Rhinolophus ferrumequinum: one gene and its partner. The protein of the gene in region 2 interacts with the protein of the main gene of each other region in a pairwise test. Links are inferred from orthologs where the notes say so. Each region holds a gene or a part of one and is shown on either strand. Other genes may lie near its edges.

What was found.
Region 1: the proteins of MIF (region 2) and BNIPL interact in a two-hybrid assay, tested with the Homo sapiens proteins (2 studies listed by BioGRID and IntAct). The link is inferred for Rhinolophus ferrumequinum from reciprocal best matches to the Homo sapiens genes MIF and BNIPL.

What each region holds. Positions count from the first base shown.
Region 1 is NC_046305.1:51,128,864-51,139,827, forward strand, and holds the start of BNIPL (bcl-2/adenovirus E1B 19 kDa-interacting protein 2-like protein), read left to right. Parts: upstream 1-6,502; 5' UTR 6,503-6,631; coding exon 6,632-6,675; intron 6,676-7,486; coding exon 7,487-7,576; intron 7,577-7,779; coding exon 7,780-7,844; intron 7,845-8,058; coding exon 8,059-8,283; intron 8,284-10,664; coding exon 10,665-10,847; intron 10,848-10,964. Other genes in the region: exopolyphosphatase PRUNE1, read left to right, coding at 441-535, 2,162-2,320, 4,097-4,525. UniProt on the Homo sapiens protein: May be a bridge molecule between BCL2 and ARHGAP1/CDC42 in promoting cell death.
Region 2 is NC_046308.1:22,612,478-22,620,850, forward strand, and holds MIF (macrophage migration inhibitory factor), read right to left. Parts: upstream 3,338-8,373; 5' UTR 3,225-3,337; coding exon 3,117-3,224; intron 2,955-3,116; coding exon 2,782-2,954; intron 2,700-2,781; coding exon 2,633-2,699; 3' UTR 2,531-2,632; downstream 1-2,530.

The sequences.
Region 1 (10,964 bases), on a different chromosome or scaffold from region 2:
AATATGCCAAAAGAATACTAAATTATCAGAGTGAGAGCTGGAAGCAGAAGAAATATACCAAAGTGAATATACCAAGGACAAAGAAAGAGAACAAAAAAAATCTTCCATAATTTTCTACCCAGCTACTACCTCTTGACGTATAGAAAGAAAAGTGCCACATGTACTTTTAGACAATGAAAAAAACACAGAAAGGGGGAGAATCCTAAGCAAAAGGCTCCCTTCTTCCTTTTATCCTTCTCTCTCTTGTTCTAATGGTAACTATTGTGACCCAGTAATTTAAAGTAATTTTGATTATCTAATGACATTCTCAGTTACCAGTCCTTTCATTGCCCCAAAGAGAGGCTGTGTTCTTCCTCTTCCTTGGCCCATCTTGGTATCCTCACCTTCCTGGTCTTAGGGCCCTGGGCTCTTTGACCCCAAGTCTCACATCTGCTTTCTAGGACTGACCACCGAGCAGATGCTGAGAAAGGACCAGAAGACCATCACCAGACAAGGCCTCAAGGTGGCCATTAGTGCAATATATGTGGACTTGGAGGTAAGAGCAAGGTGTAGCTGTGGTGGGCACGAAAACCTTCAGTTAGGGAGGTACTCTTGCCCCTCACGCCTGGCTCTCCTCCGGAGGACATCTCGTACCTTCCTGCGTCTCTCCGTCTCTGTCACTCCCACAGTTTCCTGGTTTTCCTGCCTGCACTTTTGCGCCCCTACAAACCATTCTCCCCACAGCAGCCGGAGCGATCTTGATACGTCAGGTAGATCACACCGCCCCTCCCTTTACCGCCTTTTCAGTGGACTTCTAATAACATGCAAAGGCCTGGCTGTGGTTACAGCGCCCTCCTTGGTCTGGCCCTTGTCTTTCTCTCCGACCTCACGTCACTCCAGCCCCACTTCCCCACTCCTGCCCTCACAGTACTGCAGCCACACTGGCTTGCTTTCTGTTCCTCGGCGCCATTAAGCTCATGCCCATTTCAGGGCCCTTGCACTCGCTTTTCCCTGTGCAGCGCCGGCTTCTCCGTCTCACTGAGCACAGGTGTCCCCTCTTTTAAGAAGTTCTTCCTGACCGTCCTCACTGAAATGATACCCTCCCCACTCAGAAATCTCTAGCACTTATCTTACTTTGTTTTCCTCGTAGCACTTAACACACTGGAATAATCATATTTCATGTTTTCCTTGCTTATTGTCTCTGTTCCTCTGCTGGTGTATCAGCCCCGCCAGAGGGAGGACCCTGCTTCTTGGGTTTGGTTGGGTTGTGTCTCTAGCACCTTTGCCAATGCCTGGCACTCAGTGGCTGCTCAATAAACTTTGTGAAATGGGTGAATGAGTAGAATTTTGATGCTTGATATCTGAAGTGGTATTTGAATTCCTGGTTCCACATCATATGGGTTTAAATCGTTCGACAACCTGATCTGAACACATACTCTCATAGTCTGCACAGCTTTCTACTAAATGCCGTGTACAAATGCTAAAACACTAAATAAAACAAAATAGCATGACCTCTTCCCTTACGACTCATAACCTAGTTTGGAAAACAGACATAAGAACTGAAAAGGCTTACCAAGTCCCATAAGCACAAAGCAAACTAACACATTAAAAGGGCCAAAGGGAGAGAGAAGCCATGATCAGAAACAGGTGGGGGTGCTCTCCATTGGGGGATCCACTGGGGGAAACACTGCGTGAGATGTTGGAGATGAGCATAGATTGGCAAAGGATGAAGAGCCAAGGATGCAGTTGTCACGTGTCTATTCTTATTTGTGTGCCCCGTTGTTCCATTTTGGAATTAAAATACCCAAACGGCAAAGACCTTTGATTGCAAGAACAGGGGAATTTTTGTAATTCCTAAAACAACCATGTTTGGTAAATGTTTCATCCTCACTTTACAGACGAGGAAACTTAAGTCCAGGGCGGTTAACCTAACTCTTTGAACATAATGCTTAGCTATAGGTAATAGAGCTGATTTTCAAACCAATTCTATCTGAACCCAAAGCCCATCTTCTCCCCACTCTACACACTGCCTCCCAGCACAGAGTACATCCAGGTACTTCTTCTGGCGTACCAGTCCCAGGGTAACGTGCAGAGAGAGAAACCCTTCCTAAGCGTGTTGTGTTGGTGGTGACAGTGAGGGGCCAGCTGTCGTCCTCAGCTCTGTCCATTTCTTCTCTTCCAGGCCTTCCTGCAGAGGTCTGGTCTCATTGCAGACCTCCGTGCTTACTGCCAGGCTCACAGCTACGATGCCCTGGTTGCCATGACGATCGTTTTCAACCCTCACAATGAGCCAGTGAGGCAGCTGGCTATTTTCTGTCCCCATGCAGCCCTCCGAATGACGGTGAGTCTCTGTCCCTTCTCCATCCCGAAGGCCCTGCGGCGCTCTGCCTATACGCGCTGCCCTCTGTGGTAAGACCTCTCCTTGGTTCTTATGTTGACACAGGTCCTTCGTATTCCCAAAATCTCCCCTCTCCGCTTTTTCCCATTCTCTACATACGTGAATACCCTTAATCATTGTTGAGAAAGGGAGATTCCAAAGAGAATTAGAGACACGGTTCCTACTTAGAAGGAACTTAAAATCGGCTTCAAAGAAAATAAATTTGGAGTTAAGACTTGGTGTAATCTTTGATTCCCACCCCTGAAAATCGATTCTTTCTTTTTTTTTTTTTTTTTTTACCCTATTGTCTTGAAAATGGAAACACAAGAGAAAGCTTTTCTGCTACTTACCTGTGCAGCAATTAATTACTCTTGTTTAGCGCTGACTGTTGAGAAGTGGTCTGGGAGCAGGTTTGTTTTCTTGCCTGATCTGCCATGTGGTCCCCTTGCCCTCCTCCTCCCCTTTCTTTTCCTCTGTTGGTTACTCATTAGCCCAGAGGAGAATTTAAAAGTGGACGTAAGGCGGTCCAGGGGCTCTTTGGGCTGCTTGGCTGTGTGAGAACTGCCAGACTGGTGACTACAGCCAGAGAACCCTCTGAGCCCGCGAAAGGTACGTCTGCCCCCCTCCACCTCTCTCTGCCTGCCTTCTCCTACAGGAAACAAGTGTCACTTCACTCAGTGGAAGGTAGTTTGGTCCTGTGGAAAGAACTAGTTTCTAAAGGCAGGTAGACATGCTTTTCTGTCTCCGTTTGCCACTTCCGTGCTCTTTGAGCTAAGGCAAGTCAGTTGACTTCTGAGTCTGTAAGTGGCATGATATTACCTACTCAGTAATCAGTCTGATGTAACATTAAACACAATATCGTGTAAAGTATATTGCTGGGCACAGTCAGCACTCGGTGCCAGGTGGCTCTTACCAGCGTGTCATGAAGGAAAGGGTCCCTCGGCTGATAGAAGTGCCTGTCCCCACTGTGTCCCCACCACAGCCTGGCTGTGCTGGGCCACAGGAGGCCTCTCCCACTGTCCGTGCCATTGCCGCTCTCCCTCTTGTTGGGACAGTATAACACAGCGATTTCGAGCATTGCCTTTGCTGACAGACCTAGGCTCCAGTGTCAGCTTTGCTTCCTTCAAGCTCTGACTTTAGCCAAGTTACCTAATCTGTCTAAGCCTCAGTTTCCCTCCCTGTAAATGAGAGTAATGGTAATACCAATCTTATAAGGGAGTTGTGAGGATTCCAAGAGAGACTATTGGTAAATGGCCAGACGTGGCACCGTGCCTGGCCTACGTCCCACCCCACTTTGATCTGTTCATTCATTCCGCCCTGATTCTTTCCCGACCTCAGTAGAGGTCTGTCCTGTCCCAGCTAAGGCTAGAGTTCAAGTTTTTGAGCCCAGGAATACACTTGGAAACAACAAGTATCCTCCTAACAACAAGTGTTAGGAGCTGGGGGGCCTGGGTTCTGGTTCAGATTCCACCATCATCTACACAATTTTGTTCATCTCTCGGGGCTTTGGTTGACTTCATAATAAAATGAAGTCTATGGTCTCAAGTGTTTCTTCTGTTTCTGAAATACTAGATGTATTAGCTGATGTGCCTTTGGTTGCAAGCAATGAAACTGAACTCTAGGTGACTTAATAAAAAAACCGTGTTCTCCTCTGTAAGAGAAGCCTGTACCTGGGAAGCCTCAGCTCTTTGCCTCAGCCACCGCCTTATATACCATTTCCCCATCTTGTCTCCCCTTTAGATCTGTGGGGTCCTGGAATGCTCCCAGTCTCCGTCCCTGAAGCTGACCCCTGTCCCAAGCAGCCACCCCAACCTCCAGGCCTACGTCCAAGGCAACACCCAGGTCTCTCGGAAGAAATTTCTGCCTCTGCTCCAGGAAGCCCTGTCAGCGTATTTTGACTCCATGACAATCCCTTCGGGGCAGCCTGAGACAGGGGGTGTGTCCAGGGAGCAGGTAGACAAAGAATTGGACAGGGCAGGTACCCCGCTGATTCCTGGACTGAGTCAAGATGAGGAGGACCCCCCACTGCCCCCCACACCCATGAACAGCTTGGTGGATGAGTGCCCTCTGGATCAGGGGCTGCCGAAACTCTCCGCCGAGGCCATCTTTGAGAAGTGCAGTCAGATCTCGCTGTCACAGACCACCGGTGCCTCCCTGTCCAAGAAGTGACTGTTGGGACAGGCGAGCATAGCGAGAGAAGTTGCTTGAACCATGTTTTGAGACGTTTGCATGTTTTGAGACGTTTCAGCAATTGTCTTCGTTGCTCCAGGATCTGGTGGATTGTGGTCATAAACCTGGGAGGAGAAAGAAGTACAAGAAAGCAGCTGCTTCAGGAGTGGCTTTCTGCCTTTCCACCCCCCCCACCCGTCTCTACCAATCAAATTTTATTATTTAATTTAATGATTTAAGTCTGCACTGACTCTCCTACATCTCATTTGCCAGGGGCACAGAGAACGTGTGCCCCAGAAGTGCCCTCCACGAGGCTCTTTCCGGTGTCTCATGGAACCACACGCTTACGGTCTCCATGTATTCACTTATTCTCTGGTGAAGTCAAGTATTTATTACTGAGCACCTACTTCAAGCTAGGTAGAAACATGGAGTGCTTTGGAAACTCTTCTTCCAGTTTTCAGCCGTTAGCAGATTTCCAACTTCGTGACCCCTCTCTCTGCCCCCAGCTAGGTAACGATGTCTGATTCTGAGGTGACGAAATTTCTGTTCTGAGCTTATTGTGACTCTTCCGGCATTACCGGGGAGCAGGGTAGAGGCCATTATCTTCTGTCCTGATCAGGTGGCCCGGCTCTCACTTTCTTTGGATTCCTCTCCCCCAAAGCCACGGGGAGCCTGAGGAGACCCAACAGACCCTGGTTCTGGAGTGCTCTGGGCCTAAGACTTCATAGACTCTTCCCAAAAGCCAGCAGAACTGCGTTAAGAGCCCGGGCTCTGTCCCCAGCCTTAGTGGGTCTGTCAGTTTCTTGTCTGTGTTATTCTCTTGCTCATATTAAGAGGAAGCCTGGAGTTCTGACACCAGCTGCCATGAACCATGAGTCTTTTGCGACGCTTTGTCTCTCTAGGTCTCATTTTCCCATCTATAACACCATGGACCTGGACGCAAACCTCTCTCGCGTTCTGTGATCTGCCTCTTGCCGCCATCCTTTCTCTCTGCATCTCTGAATGTTTTGGGTTTTATTTTTCTGTTTTCCCTGGGAATGCTCGGGGTCACCAGATTGTCTGTATTTATACGTGCTTGTGCCAAGGGACTCGGTCGGCCTCATGTAGCATGTACAGAGGTGCGTCTCAGACCTTAGTGACCGGCTGAGAGCTCCCTCCCCTGACTTGTTCGGCGTGTAGTCTCCTTTTCTCTTCAGACCTGTCCCCCTGTCCCCCCGACCCCCCGCAGCTCTATTCCACATAAGTTGCCAACAGTTTCACTGAGTAGTGGGGGGGTGTGACGCGTGGCGTCTTCATTGTAATGGGGGGCGGGCGGACTTCCTGCGGGGATGATGTGTGTAGCCATTGGAAGGTGAAAATAGTCGTGTGATTACTGAACCAAAAGAGTTTATGTTTTGTAATTTGGGTACTTTATTTTGCATTTTGTTAAAGTATTAAATTTTTTTTTCCTGTTTGGGGTCGTATTGTCTCTTTTTACAACTTATAATCAGGCCTTTGCCTCAGATCACTGTTTCAGCCTCCTCAAGTTTCATCTCCCTTCTTCCTGCTCTACTTCATGTTTTCCTTCCGTTGACTCTTTAGGAATAAGGCACAACAGTCTTCTGTCTCTCGTCACCCTCAGCCTTGCCTTTCATTTGTTTCTTCCTCCAGAACCCTCCTGAAAACATACTTCTGTGTTGCTGATTTTGCTTATGCTCAAAAGGTAGGGCCAACATAGTCTTAAAACCAAAGTGGGTTTTACTGTTGCCTTTTTGTCTTTTTTTTTTTTTAAGCAGCTTCCAGGTTATGAGGAGTCTGAGGAGGAGAACAAGTGGCCTTACTACATAAACCTCTACCCCCCCCCAAGACTAGCCCCTTTAGAAAATGTACTCTCCTCCCCCAAACCCGCCCCCACTTAGGCAGGGTTATTCTTTTGGGTGAACCTGCTCCTTGGGAAGGGAGGTGGCAAAACCTGTTTGAAGGTGAGGTTCCCTCCCTTCTACCCCTTCCTTCTGAGGCAAGAGCAACAACAGCTGAGAGAGAAAAGGGTACAGAAGTGCTGGGGAGCTGGGACCACCGGCTGCCTAGAAGTCCAGGTGTGTAAAGGAGACAGGAAGATTTGGGAAGATGGAAACTATAGTGGAGGCAGGAGAAAAGACATTGGATCTCGGGTAAGTAAGATCTTGGTTAACTCAGTTGGAAAGAAGTGAATGGTCTTAGGGGATATTCCCACCACCCAGCTCTTACCAGGTCTGATCTTGGGTTCCTAGAGGCAATAAGACTAAGAATTTGCAGGGAAGGCATGGGGGTGGCTTTAGGTAGGAAATGTTGGAATGGTATGGGAACAGGGGAGGCCAGGGTAATTCCCTGTGCGTGTGTGTGTGTGTGTGTGTGTGTGTGTGTTTGAAGGAAATACTCTGTGTGATAAATCTGCCCCTGTTCTCTGTTTTCTGACCCTCACCCTCCAAAATGGCTATTCTCTAGGAAAGCAGACCTAGAATTAAATTAGGTCCGGGTTCTCCTCCCCAGCAAATCTTTCTTCTTACCTTCTTCCTCCACCCATGCCATGGTTTCCCCTGGCCACTCCCAACATGGTGGAGGAAAGGCAGGCCTGACCAGGTGCCATGTGACTGGGGCAGGTCTGTTGGGTTCCAGCCAATTGTAATGAGAAACACTCTCACCCCTACTGTGTAGGTGGAGGGACTGCCACAGATGTAACTGATTAGCTTTGTGTTCTATCCTTCCTCTGCTCCTCAGCGCAAATGAGGGGTGATCTGTTTCTAGCCAGTGGTGAAGTGGGTGGAAACATCTGCCTAGGAGACAAGAGATCTGACTTCCTTTTAGGGCCTGCCCTCTGCCCGGCACCTGAGTCACTATTCTCCATCCCAGGGTCTCCTACCTCCCATCCAGTTCCCTTAAGACACTGCTTAGTTTGCTTCATGGTAATCTTTTCTTTTGGGGGGTGGGGGGACTTACGGTCAGGGAGAATGCAGAAGCGACAGGACTAGGAGCACCGCTGAGACTCGAGGGACTGGATCTGAAGGAGGAATGGCAGGATGAAGAATTCCCTAGGTGAGGAGGTGTGAGGGAGGCTGGGAGAAGGGGGGTGGTCACAATGGAGGGCAGGGAGGGTAAGCCAGGACTTGAAGGAAAGACGCTGGATAAAGAAAGCGGAGGTGATGAAATTGTGGCGGGGAGAGAGAATGGGTCAATCAATATCTGGCTTGATGCCTTTAGCCTGTGTTTCTTCCCCCTTTTAATCTTTTCCCTTCTAGATTGCTTCCTGAAGCAGCTGACCCTTCCGAAGATACTGATAGTCCTGAAAGTGACTCACAGGCAGGTAGGAAAAGTCAATCCTAGGCCTCAAATTCTTGATTCAAATCTAGTGAAGGGTTATGCCACCCGTATCCCTTTGCAATTTTAATTCCCTTTCCCCAAACGTCCTGTGTTGTCTCCGTATTATCACTTCCATCTACACAGGAATTCTAACCTCCCCCGCTAACACATACACACATCTTTTTATTTTTTTGTCCCCTCACCCTCCTCCAACCCAGGTACCCCCAGCACGTTAGCCCTGTGTGGCCAGCGCCCCATGCGTAAGCGTCTTTCTGCCCCAGCGTTGCTACTGAATCTGACGAAAGGGCCGGGAGATAATGGAGCTTCTCCTCTCCACTCTGTACCTTCCTCTCCCGGTGGCAGTTCTGACCTGGAAGTAGACGAATTAGAGACACCTTCAGACTCGGAGCAGCTGGACAGTGGACATGAGTTTGAATGGGAAGGTGGGAAAGACACCTGAGGGCTGAGCTGGTAGAAGTAGAGGCCAGTTAAAGAAGCTCGGGATGGATTTAGTGGGACTGAAGTTAGAACTAACAAGGAGGGGACTGAGAAGTGAGGTCAGCAAAATCGATTTCCTCAGAATAGAAAGCTAGAGCCCAGAGATCCAATGCAAGAGTGTCAGCAGAGGGGGGCTGGGGTCCTTTTTTATTAAGGAAAACTGTTGAATGACTGTTACATGCCATCACTGAGCTGGAACCGGAGATATAAAGTCCCCACCCTCAGGCACTTCTCTGTTTAGTAAGAAATGAGCATAAATAGAAGGAAGTGCAGTTCCAGCTTATGACCTTCACATGTCCAGGGTACAGTTCAGGCCGGGAGGGGGAGATCAGTGCTGCGGGAGAGGCACGAGGAAAGACCACAGAGGAGGTGACTGACAGCTGTCCGTCACGTAGTCGGACAGGCATTCTAGCTGGAAGAGGCGATTGGGGCAGCGGCATGGCATTTGGGGAATTCCAAGTCTCAAGCATGACTATTTAGATATTAAGGAAAATTTGGTTTCTTCTCTACTCTCAACACTTCTGAGACCAACTGTGTGGGTTTTCCCCACATCAATTCTCCAGCTCTCCAGACAGCAATTAAGTTAGAACATGAACCACCTGGAGTTAGCGCAGACCCCAAGGTTAAGGGTCAGTCCCCCAAGACTGTCCCCCTCCCCGCACTTCAAACACCAGTCACATGTCCAGGTCATCACCTGTGCTGGCCACTCACTGCCCCCTGCTCAGGTTCGATAATTTGCTAGAATGACTAACAGAACTCAGAAAAACAATTTCCTTACTAGATTACAGATGTATTGTACGAGGATGCAACTCAGGAACAGCCAGAAGGAAGAGATGTGTAGGACAAGGTGTATGGGGAGGTGTGTGGAGCTTCCACGCCCTCTGAGCACCCCCATGTGTTTGTTCACCGACCCAGAAGCTCCCCGAACCGCCTCCGCTAGGGTTTTATGGAGGCTTCATTGTGTGGTCACGACTGATTGGTTCACTGGCCATTAGTGATTAACACAACCTAGTCTCTCTCTCCTCCTCAAAGGTGCAACCCTCTAATAACAAGGATGGTTCCCCTGGCAACCAGCCACTCATCCTTAGGGGCTTTCCAAAGTCACCTTATTAATAAAAACCCATGTGGTTGAAAGGCGCTGGTTATGAATAACCAAATGTACTCCTTTCATGTTTCTCATCCACTGTTTCAGGAGGCAGGGACAAAACAAAAATATATATTGTGTCTCAGATATGAAAGGTTGGGAGGTGAAGAGACAATGACAAAAGATAGTGCTATGTTAAGTCAGCAAGGTCAAATAGCGGAGAGTCTTGCTGCCCTGCTAAGAAGTGTAGATTTTATCTTTTATCTTTAGATGGGGAGTCATTGAATGGTTTTCATCAAGGGAGTGACGTGATCAGAATTAATCACTCTGGAAAGATCCCTCTGTAGGGTATCAGTCCTATTTATGGTGCAGCCATACAATGGAATACTAAGTACTAGGCAGCTATTTTTTAAAATGAGGTGGGCATAGTATTGTCATTTGGGTGAAAAAGGTAGGGGAGAAAAGAAAGCTTGCTCTGGCAGTCGTGTAGAGGGTGCAGTGGAAACCAGACCAGAGGCAGGAAGACCAGTTAGGAGGCGAGAACAGGCTAGGTGAGAAATACTAAGACGCCGAACCAGGACAGTAGCAGCGGAAGGAGTGATAAAAGTGTAATGGAGGCAGAGGGAAGAGGACCCAGGCTCCACTTGGCTCGAGGGCTGATAGAGGAGAGTCTCGGATGATGTACAGATTTCTCTCTCAGGAAGCTGGATGGACCCAGTCCTTCACTGAGAAAGGAATCTGAGAGAGGAAGAAGAGCAGAGTCTGAGTTGCTCTTGGGGTCTGGTGACTTGGAGGTGACAGAGAGATGAGTAGAGGTGTCCCGTGTAGGCACGCGGGGATGTGGGTCTGGAGAGAAGCCTGGGTGACAGAGGCGAATCTGGGGGTCATCACCTTACGCTGCTAATGGAAGACATGGGAATAGATGCGCTCACCCAAAGAAAAGCATGGAAAGAGGAATAAAGAATCCGGAAAAAAGAAAACAAAAACTGATACTGGCAAGGGCCATAGACCTACCACAGGGCAAGGTTGCCTCAAGGGCACTGTCTACTGCAAAAGTGACGATGATGAGTCATAGAGAGCCACCAGCAAGGGGTTGGCTGTATTGGACAAACGAGGGCTAGCATCATGGGGAAGGAACTGAGGGATGAGAGGGTGAGGCAATAAGCTAGAAAACGGGGGACGTTCACGATGCTGAGGGTGTGTATTCTGCCCTGTTGACCCTTCCCCATCCCTCCGTTTTAGACGAGCTGCCCCGGGCAGAGGGCCTGGGGGCCAGTGAAGCCGCTGAAAGGCTGGGCCGGGGTTGCATGTGGGATGTGGCTGGAGAAGACGGTCATCGCTGGAGGGTGTTCCGCACAGGCCAGCGGGAGCAGCGAGTGGACATGACGGTCATTGAGCCCTATAAGAAAGTGCTTTCCCATGGAGGTAATGGCTGGCATAGTGGAGGGGAAGGACTATGACTTCTGGACTAAAATGCCTTCGCTGGAAACCCCGTGATTGGGTGCTCCCATCCTTCTGTAACTTCCAGAGACCCTCCGAGTC
Region 2 (8,373 bases):
GCTGCCTCTCGATGTCCACAGGTTGCTGGGGGACACAGAAGAAAAACCCCAGCTCACAGGACCTGAGCCGAAGCAGACGGGCCTTGGTGTCGTCCTACACCTGGTGGCCTCAGGTAAGGCTCCCGAGAAGGGCATGGCGTGGGGCTCACAGTGGGCAGATGGGGGACAGGCATTCCATGCAGAAGGAACAGGACCAGAAAGGCAAGGCGTGAGGCTGCCAGGACTGGCTGTCTCTTGGCAAACAATGGCTGTGTGGAAAATCATGTTGTCCCGCAGGTGAGGGCCTTCATCAGCAGATGGCATGATGCCACTAGAGTAACACTTTATCTGTTCCACACCTCAGTTTGCGGTGTTATTTGGAAATGAGTTTTTGCTGCCATTCTGAAGGCTGACCACACTCCTGTGGGCCCTAGAGCCACTGCAGTTTGAGGGACAGGCTGCTCGATGAGCAGTGAAGCCCATGCTTTGGAGGAAATGGGGCTGACGAGGGAGTGACTCGGGTGGGGAGAGGATATGAAACGAGGGTGGGGTGCAGGGCTGGCTATTAGCTCCAGGGGACTTGGGAGCATGGTGGGGAGAGCCAAGAATATAGGTCCCTTTTTCCTTTCCAAGGAGCCATTACCTTGCAGGTGTCCCAGCTGGCCACTGAACCTGACACTTCCAGATTCGTGAGGGGCAGCTCAGATCCAAAAGCTAGGCTTAAATGAGTGGGACCTTTGGCTGCAGCTGGGGCCATGCTCCCCATCCCAACAGAGATGGGTGTTGGCCTCCACAGCCTTTCATCCAGGACAGAATGACCCTGAGGTAAACTGGAGCAAGCCCCTCAGAGTCTTTTGTGGAAGTGGAGTGTCTCCCCACCAAAGATAGGTCACATCCTTCCAGGCTCCCCCAAGCTGATTCTCCTTTCTCACTGCTTTTCTGGAAATAAACCCTTGCTGCCCAGCGGTAAGATGACTGAGGCTGAGTGGGGAGAGCACCCCCAGCACCTGGACTGAAAAGAAGTAATCCTCAGGCATCTTGATGAGCAAGCTGGCAAAGGTAGGCTGCCCCCGAGGACAGACATCACAGCCACGAATGCTGTGATGGAAGAGAGGCAGGGAGGGTGTGGATCCATGTGGAAAGCACCAACTAACTGAGCTCAGCAGCCCTGGGCCGGGGTTGTTCTAAAGTTGCCATAATCAAGCCTGGGCTGTGCACCCAGAGCTTTCTGCCCATGCCTCCTGGGTATTCACAGTGACACCACATAGTTGACAGGCACAAGGGCAGGGCCACTGGCAGCCATCCTAAGGAAGGAGTCACTTCCTTAGGAGTCACTGCCTGTGGCTCAGGCAGGCCTGCTCGTCACTCCCAACGTCAAAAGGGCAGTAACAGTCTTCAAAGGCTTGGCCCAGGAAGCAACCCTTATCCCTAGTTTCCAAACTCAAATTCACTTAAACTCCATGGAATTTTAAAAATCACCTTCCAAGTAGGACGTCCTTGGCCAGATAGAAGCTGAAGAAGAACAAGGGCTATCAACAGCTCTGGGCTACCAGGAGTCCAGAGGTGAGGCCCCACCTTTACCAAGCCCCAAGGAACAGTGTTCACACAGCCCAAGGAGCCCCCTCTGTGCAAGCCGCTGAAGTAAACTTGACTTCTCCCACAGAGCAGGCAGTGCAGGAAGGGCCAATCTGGTCCTTCACTTTGGGCGACACAGGTGCTGACCCTAGCCGACTAGTGCCAGCTCCAAGCAGGTGAATCCCCAATGCCAGTGGCTGGCCCTTGCTTGGCCATTTGCCTGGGCACATCACGACTCTCACATCATCGGGTGGCGAGGCATTCCAGCCCAAGTCAACTGGCCTGGGCAAGGAGCACTTCCCAGCCAGTAGGATGGGCAACAGGGCAGCCAAGGACCCTGTGGTCCAGGTGTTGGCACTGAAATTGCCCACCATCCTATTACTATCCCCACAAAGGAGCCCCCACACTTGACTGGAGGGATCCTCAGCCAGAAGACTCCAGGCCCAAACAATGGGATTTTCCAGATCAAGAAACTGGGGCACCAGCCTAGCAGAATGACCTGGGACGAAGGGGGGGGGCCTCTCTCCTCAGGGTACCCTTTGCCCAACTGGAAGATGGAAGGGGAAAACGGGGCTGAGAGAAAGGTCCAGGACCAGCTGATCCTACAACCTCTCAGGCTAATCAGATTTGGAGCCCAACCCCTCCCTTCCCCCCACCTTCCCTGCCAGACCTAGCCCACGTGGTGGCCCTGCCCCTGCGGATGGGAGACTCAACTCTGGGGGGAGACTCAACTCTGGGTTCCTTCCCAGCTGTCATAAACCTGCCGTGGGAGGCTTCCATTTTAGTTTCATTCCTGGGTCTGTGGCCAGGACAGGATGCCAACCAAGACTGGGCCTTCTGCTGGGGGCGCAGGAGGGAAAGACTGAGCAAAAAGCACCGGGCAGCAGATTCTGAGGGGGCACCTCTCCCAGCCTTGGTTCTCCACTGTCCCCGCCCCCTAGAGATGCCTCCATAAGCCAAGGAAGTCCGAGGCAGCCGCGTTCTCCAAACCGTTTATTTCTCTCGACCGGGAGGTGGGAGCACGGCGGGCAAATACCGCAGGCGGCAGGGCCTGGTGCAGGCGGGTCCCGGGCAGCCCTCAGGCGAAGGTGGAACTGTTCCAACCCACGTTGGCCGCGTTCATGTCGTAGTAGTTGATGTAGATCCTGCGAGGGACAGAAGTCGAGCTGAGCTGGCCGTGCGGTCGCGGGCCGCGCGCCCCCTGCCCCCCGGCGCCCCCTACCGCACCTGTCCGGGCTGACGCGCAGGCGCTCGGCCAGCAGGCCGCACAGCAGCTTGCTGTAGGTGCGGTTTTGCGCGCCGCCGATCTTGCCGATGCTGTGCAGGCTGCAGAGTGCACAAGGCTCAGTGGAGCCACCGAAGGCCATGAGCTGGTCCGGGACCACGTGCACCGCGATGTACTGGGGGGAGAGGAAGAGAGGGCGCGGTCAGAGGATCCGAGCGACCTCGCCGGGCCCGGGGCGCCCCCCGTCCCTTCCCCGCCCGGAGTCGCCTCCCTTCGCCCCAGCTCGGGACCACCTCGGCCGACGGGCACCCCCTCTTCCTGTTCCCTCCCGGCTAACCTGGGCCGGCTTGCCAGTGGCCTGCGCCAACTGCTGGGTGAGCTCGGAGAGGAGCCCGTCCGGCACGGAGGCGCGGGGCACGTTGGTATTCACCACGAACATCGGCATGATGGAGGGATGGCAGGAATAGGGCACAGGAACGGAAATGCGCGGGACTGCAGCGGGAGAACCTGAGCTACGTGACCAACGCCCGCCGCAACTTCAGGGCAGCTGCGGTCCCGCCTCCCATGACGCAACCGCCGGCGGAGGCCCCGCCCCCGTGAGGCCGCGGCTCCCTCCCGACTGGTGACGTCGCGCCGGGCAGGACTCCGGAAGGGTGGGCCTGCCCGTCCTCCAGCGAAAGCCATAGCCCCGCGCAACCCCTCAAAGCCTTTCTCCACTTGGCTGTCTGAAATCTGCCTGTCCCTCGTTTTTTATCAGTCCTTTCATTTAGTTACTGATATTTACGCAGTGACCTGTATGTGCCTGGAGCTGGGACTACAGCAGTCAATAGGACAGATGGTCCCTGACCCTCCAGGGGCTCAGAGCTGGCCCAGTAGCTGAGGTCGTAGCTCATTCCATCTCACACTCACTGAGCTCTTGTGTGTCCTGAGTCCCCAGGGCAACATGTCCCCAAGAACTACAGTCCTGTGTGTATGTATGTATGTGAGAGAGAGAGATTGCTGTAGGTGGGAAGAAAGATGCCACAAGGGAGTCAACATCCAGCTCCGTTCCCTCCACTCCCCTCTCCCTTTCAGAGTGAGAGAGCATGCTGGGAGGCTCCAAGGGGAGGGGCAGAGAGTAGGAGGTGAGGCCCAGACAGAGCTCCATGGGCCAAAGGCAGCAACAGCCTGAGAGCCTACCCCCAACTTGAGGTGCCCTGGGCAACTTCTCTGCAGGTCTGGAAACTTCAGCTCTTCAGGGAATCCCCACCCTAGTCAGGCCCTCTAGGATGCCCTCTCAGACATCTTTGTCTTTTCACTAACTGTCAGCTCAGTGGACATCTAGTGGATACCAAGCACACACGACTAAATACTGGCTGAATGAATGAATGGGTGAATGAAGACAGCCATGACACAGCAGGAAGAGGACAGGGCAGCAACAAAGGCCAGGGATGAGCCTGCAGGCCCTGTCATCACTGAGTAGAAGGACCTGTGGCTAAGTGGCCACCCCCATTCCATCTCTGAGGAACCCCCGGTCAAGGTGTCACACTGGGGAATGGATCTCTCTCAGGTGCTGGAGGAGGCATGCTGCATTTGGCCAAGTCCTCAGAGCTCTCCAGGAAGGTCCTGTCCTTGGTCTCTGGTAGGTGCAATCGGTTAAGGTGGCATGGTACAAACTGGCCTTGATGATGGCCACTGATGCACTGATGTACTCCATGCCATGTGTCATGCGGGGTCCCAGCTCCTGCTCCCCACCCAAGAACGCAGGATATGGTGAGGCCAAAAAGGAACACCAACGGAGCCATGGATAGGGGAGTCATACCACTATATTCTCGCTGGCGGCTGGGTTGGAGACACAGGAAGCAGGAGCCACACTATCCGCAATCTGCCGTCCACTTCTCTGCCAACCAACCAACCCACCCCCGCCCCCAGCACAGCCACGGCAGTTATATCAGTGACCAATGGCTAAACGGCAACAGCTGAATGGCTACCCAGCCACAGCGGATGGCCATCTGATCACAGCTGATGGCCGTCCAATAACTGAGCCAGCATCTTTCCACGTGAGGCCAAGAGCCTAGAAATTGCTCTCCGGGACTCTGTCCCCACACTGTGTCTCCTGCCCAGGAGGCTCTTCTGAGTCCTAACAGCCAACTCAGCATTTCCTGCTTTTATGTCCAAATCTAAGCGCATTTCTTTTCCTCCCACACCTGACTGCCTGCCAGTGAAATGTACCTCCCTCCACTGTCCCTTTATCCTCACTTCTCTCCACCCACCTCGTTACCACCACCTTAGTCTAAGCTAGCTGGCATCACCTTTGGCCTGGCTTGGACTCTGGAGAGAAGCCCATTTCCCTGACCCTGGCAGCAGATCTGGCCATGTAATTTCCCTTGCCCAGTGAAATGTGAATAGAAGTGACATGAGTGACTCCAGACAGAAGATTCAAGAGCCAGCACCTGTGTGGGGACAGAGCCCACAGTTTCCAAGGTCTCGGCCTCACGTGGAAAGGTCCTGGCTCAGGTAGTAAATGGCCAACAACTGTGCTTGGATGGCCATCAGCTGTGGCTGGTTGGCCGTCAGCTGTAACCAGTGAGTCACTGGCCATTTATATAACTGCCGTGGCTACGCTAGCAGGAAGTGGTGGCTAGCAAGAAGATGGTGGCTGACAAGCACGGATTGCAGTTAGCACGGTGGAGTGCGGGTTGCAGATTGCAGAGAAGTGGACGGCAGGTTGCAGATCGTGTGGCTCCTGCTTCCTGTGTCTCCAACCCAGCCGCCAGCGAGAATATAGTGGTCTGACTCCCCTATCTATGGCTCCGTGGGTGTTTCTTTTTGGCCTCACCATGTCCTGTGTTCTTATGTGGGGAGCAGGACCAGAGACCCCACATGACACCCTGCATGACAACCTGGTTTGCTGCTATCTGAGATAATGAGAGTGGGTGATAAGGTGGAGCCTGGCCAGCAAACACCCATAATGCTCCTGTGGTTGAGCCACTGCCATTTTCAGGTTATAGTAGCATAGGGGGGGACACCCCTGATCAGAACAGCCTCTGAGCCATTTGCCATCAGCTCTTACTCTCCCCCAACCTGTTTCCAATAGTGAACACCAATTTTCTGTGGAGGTGCTATGATTCCCACCTCCCCCTCTTATTAGCGTGGACATTTGGCTAACCTCTATAAGCCTCAATTTCCCCAATTTCCCCTGTAATTTGGGGATGACAGCAGTGTCCACCTTACAGGGGGGTGTTGTGAGGACCAAGTGGCCTAAATACTGGTGACAGTCACTTCTGATAGAAGTAGTATTGTCACAATGCCCTGGGTGACCTCCCTGCCTACATCTTGCACCACACTCTTGTTCTCTGGTCTTGTGCACTGCCCTTCAGTGCCATGCTGCTGGCTCCTGATTCCTGGCTCTTGGCTCAGGCATTGGTCCTGAAATTAGGTTTGCCCACACTTTCCTTCGTCTGACTTGGACTCAGTTCCTTGGGAAAGCCCTCAGAGCTCCTGGCTCTGTCGGGTCCTGTAATGTGCCAAGCATCTGCCCTGTCCTTCGAGGCCATCACCACATTTCTATCTGTGAGGTAACCATCCTTTCTAGGCGGTAAATCCATGAGAATGGAGACCATTGCTGTCTGCGTACCTTCTGACCTGGTACCTCAGTGGTAGCCAGAGAGCCTCCAAATATGTCCACACTCCAATCCCCAGAACCTGGGAATATGTTAGGTTACATGGCAAAAGGCACTTCACAGATGTTAATTAGGGTTATGGGATATAATTAGGGAGATTATCATGGATTATCTGGGTGGGTCCAATGTAAGAGGTCACATGACCCCTTAAAAGCAGAAAATTTTTTCCAGCTAGTCAGATGCAGCAGAACGGGATGTCAGAGACTCGAAGCAGAAGGACTCCGTGTGCCGTTCCTGACTTTGAGGTTGAAGGGGACCTCAGCCAACTGCAAGGAGCTGAATTCTGCCAACAACCTGAATGAACATGGAAGTAGGCTCTTCCCAGTTGACCTGAGACACCTTGACGTCAGCTGTGTGAGACCTTAAGCAGAAGACCCAGTCACGCCGTATTGGGTGACTGACCCACAGAAACTGTGAGATAATAAATGTGTGTTGTTTTAAGCTGCGAAATTTATGGTGATTTGTTCTAGGAGCAATAGAAAAGTAATACACCTGGCATCAATAGGGTTCAATAATTATCGGCTGAGAAACAGGCACCAGGTGGCGTTTTAGCAGATGTGGCCGCCGCCCTGCCTGAGACCCTCCTCTCTTTCCTCCTCACTGACAGAATCCCAGTTCTCTTTGGTTAGAACATTCGCTGCCCCAGAGCCCCTGGCAACCAGGTGTGGCTGTTTGAGGCAGCTGTGGCTCACGTACTGTGTGGGGTTGATGGGGAAGCAGCTGCTTTGCTGACGGAGGTGTCACCCTACCCCCTTCCTCTTGCTCCCGCCTGCAGTTTGGATATAACCCCCGGTTGTGTGGCATCTGTTGAGCAACCAGAGCTGAAAAAACACAGGCAAAGGAGAAGGAGTGGTAAACCAAGGGAGCCTGGGGCTCTGACAGCTCTGCCCATTGACAGCTCTTCAGCTGCCATTTGGTTAAAGAAGAGAAATAAACCCCTCTCTGTTCAAAGCACAGCTTGTCAGAGTTTCAAGCCCAGTGCAATTCCTGGCTGTTGCAGAGGACTGCTTCAGTGTCACATCCTGTGTAAGGGCTGTTGGACAGGGAAGGGGGTGGGAAGAAAACCTCACGAGGTAGGGAGATGTCACGAGATGAGGAGAACTGTAGCGCACACTGAGTACCCGGCAGACCCTGCAAGTGGGCAGCCAGCTCTGGGTTGAACAGCTCCAAGGGCAGGACCTGAGTTACCTGAGTTACCCGTGCTGGAGGGAGGAAGGCCGTGGTAAGGGAGAGCCTGCAGCTCCCCTCGAGTACGACCCGCTTATCCCCTCGCTGCCTTTCCCTGACGTGGACCGGTCATCACTCCACGTCTGTGGATGGCGGCCCACCTTCCCACCACTCCCACTGCCCCCTCACCAGCCTCATGTCCCTCAGCATCCCGCCCCAGCCATGATTCATCACTCCCTCCTGCCCCAACAACCCAGGCAGCCCTGGCCCCTGACCATCCCCCATTCGCCAGTCCCCTTGCCCTTTTTCACTCAATGTGGTAAAAGTTGCAGCAAAGACAAGCAAAGACACCCTATCCCCCTTTAGTCATAGTGGAAGAAGACCTGGGGGGTCGTCACCCCACTGATGACCCCTACCCAGCCATACGTAAAGGTACAGGACTGTAAAGACGGGTGTCTGCCAGGAGACCACTGTCGCGTCCTGCATGACAAGAGCTATGGGAAGCAAGAAGGGCTGCGCAGGGTTAAGAAAGACAGTAGCCAAGAGTAGAGTGCAAGCTGGGCCAAGGGACTCAAGTCTCAAGGACTGAGCTCCGAATCGGGCCAACGCATGGCTTTTATTAGTAATCATACAAGGAAGTAAAGTTTGATTTTTCCATGGTCCACAAGTCACGTGCCTGACTGCTGTTCTTCCCGAAAGCCCCCATCGTGCTCCAACACGTACTGTGCCTTCACACACACACGTATAACTCCAGGGAATGGAATC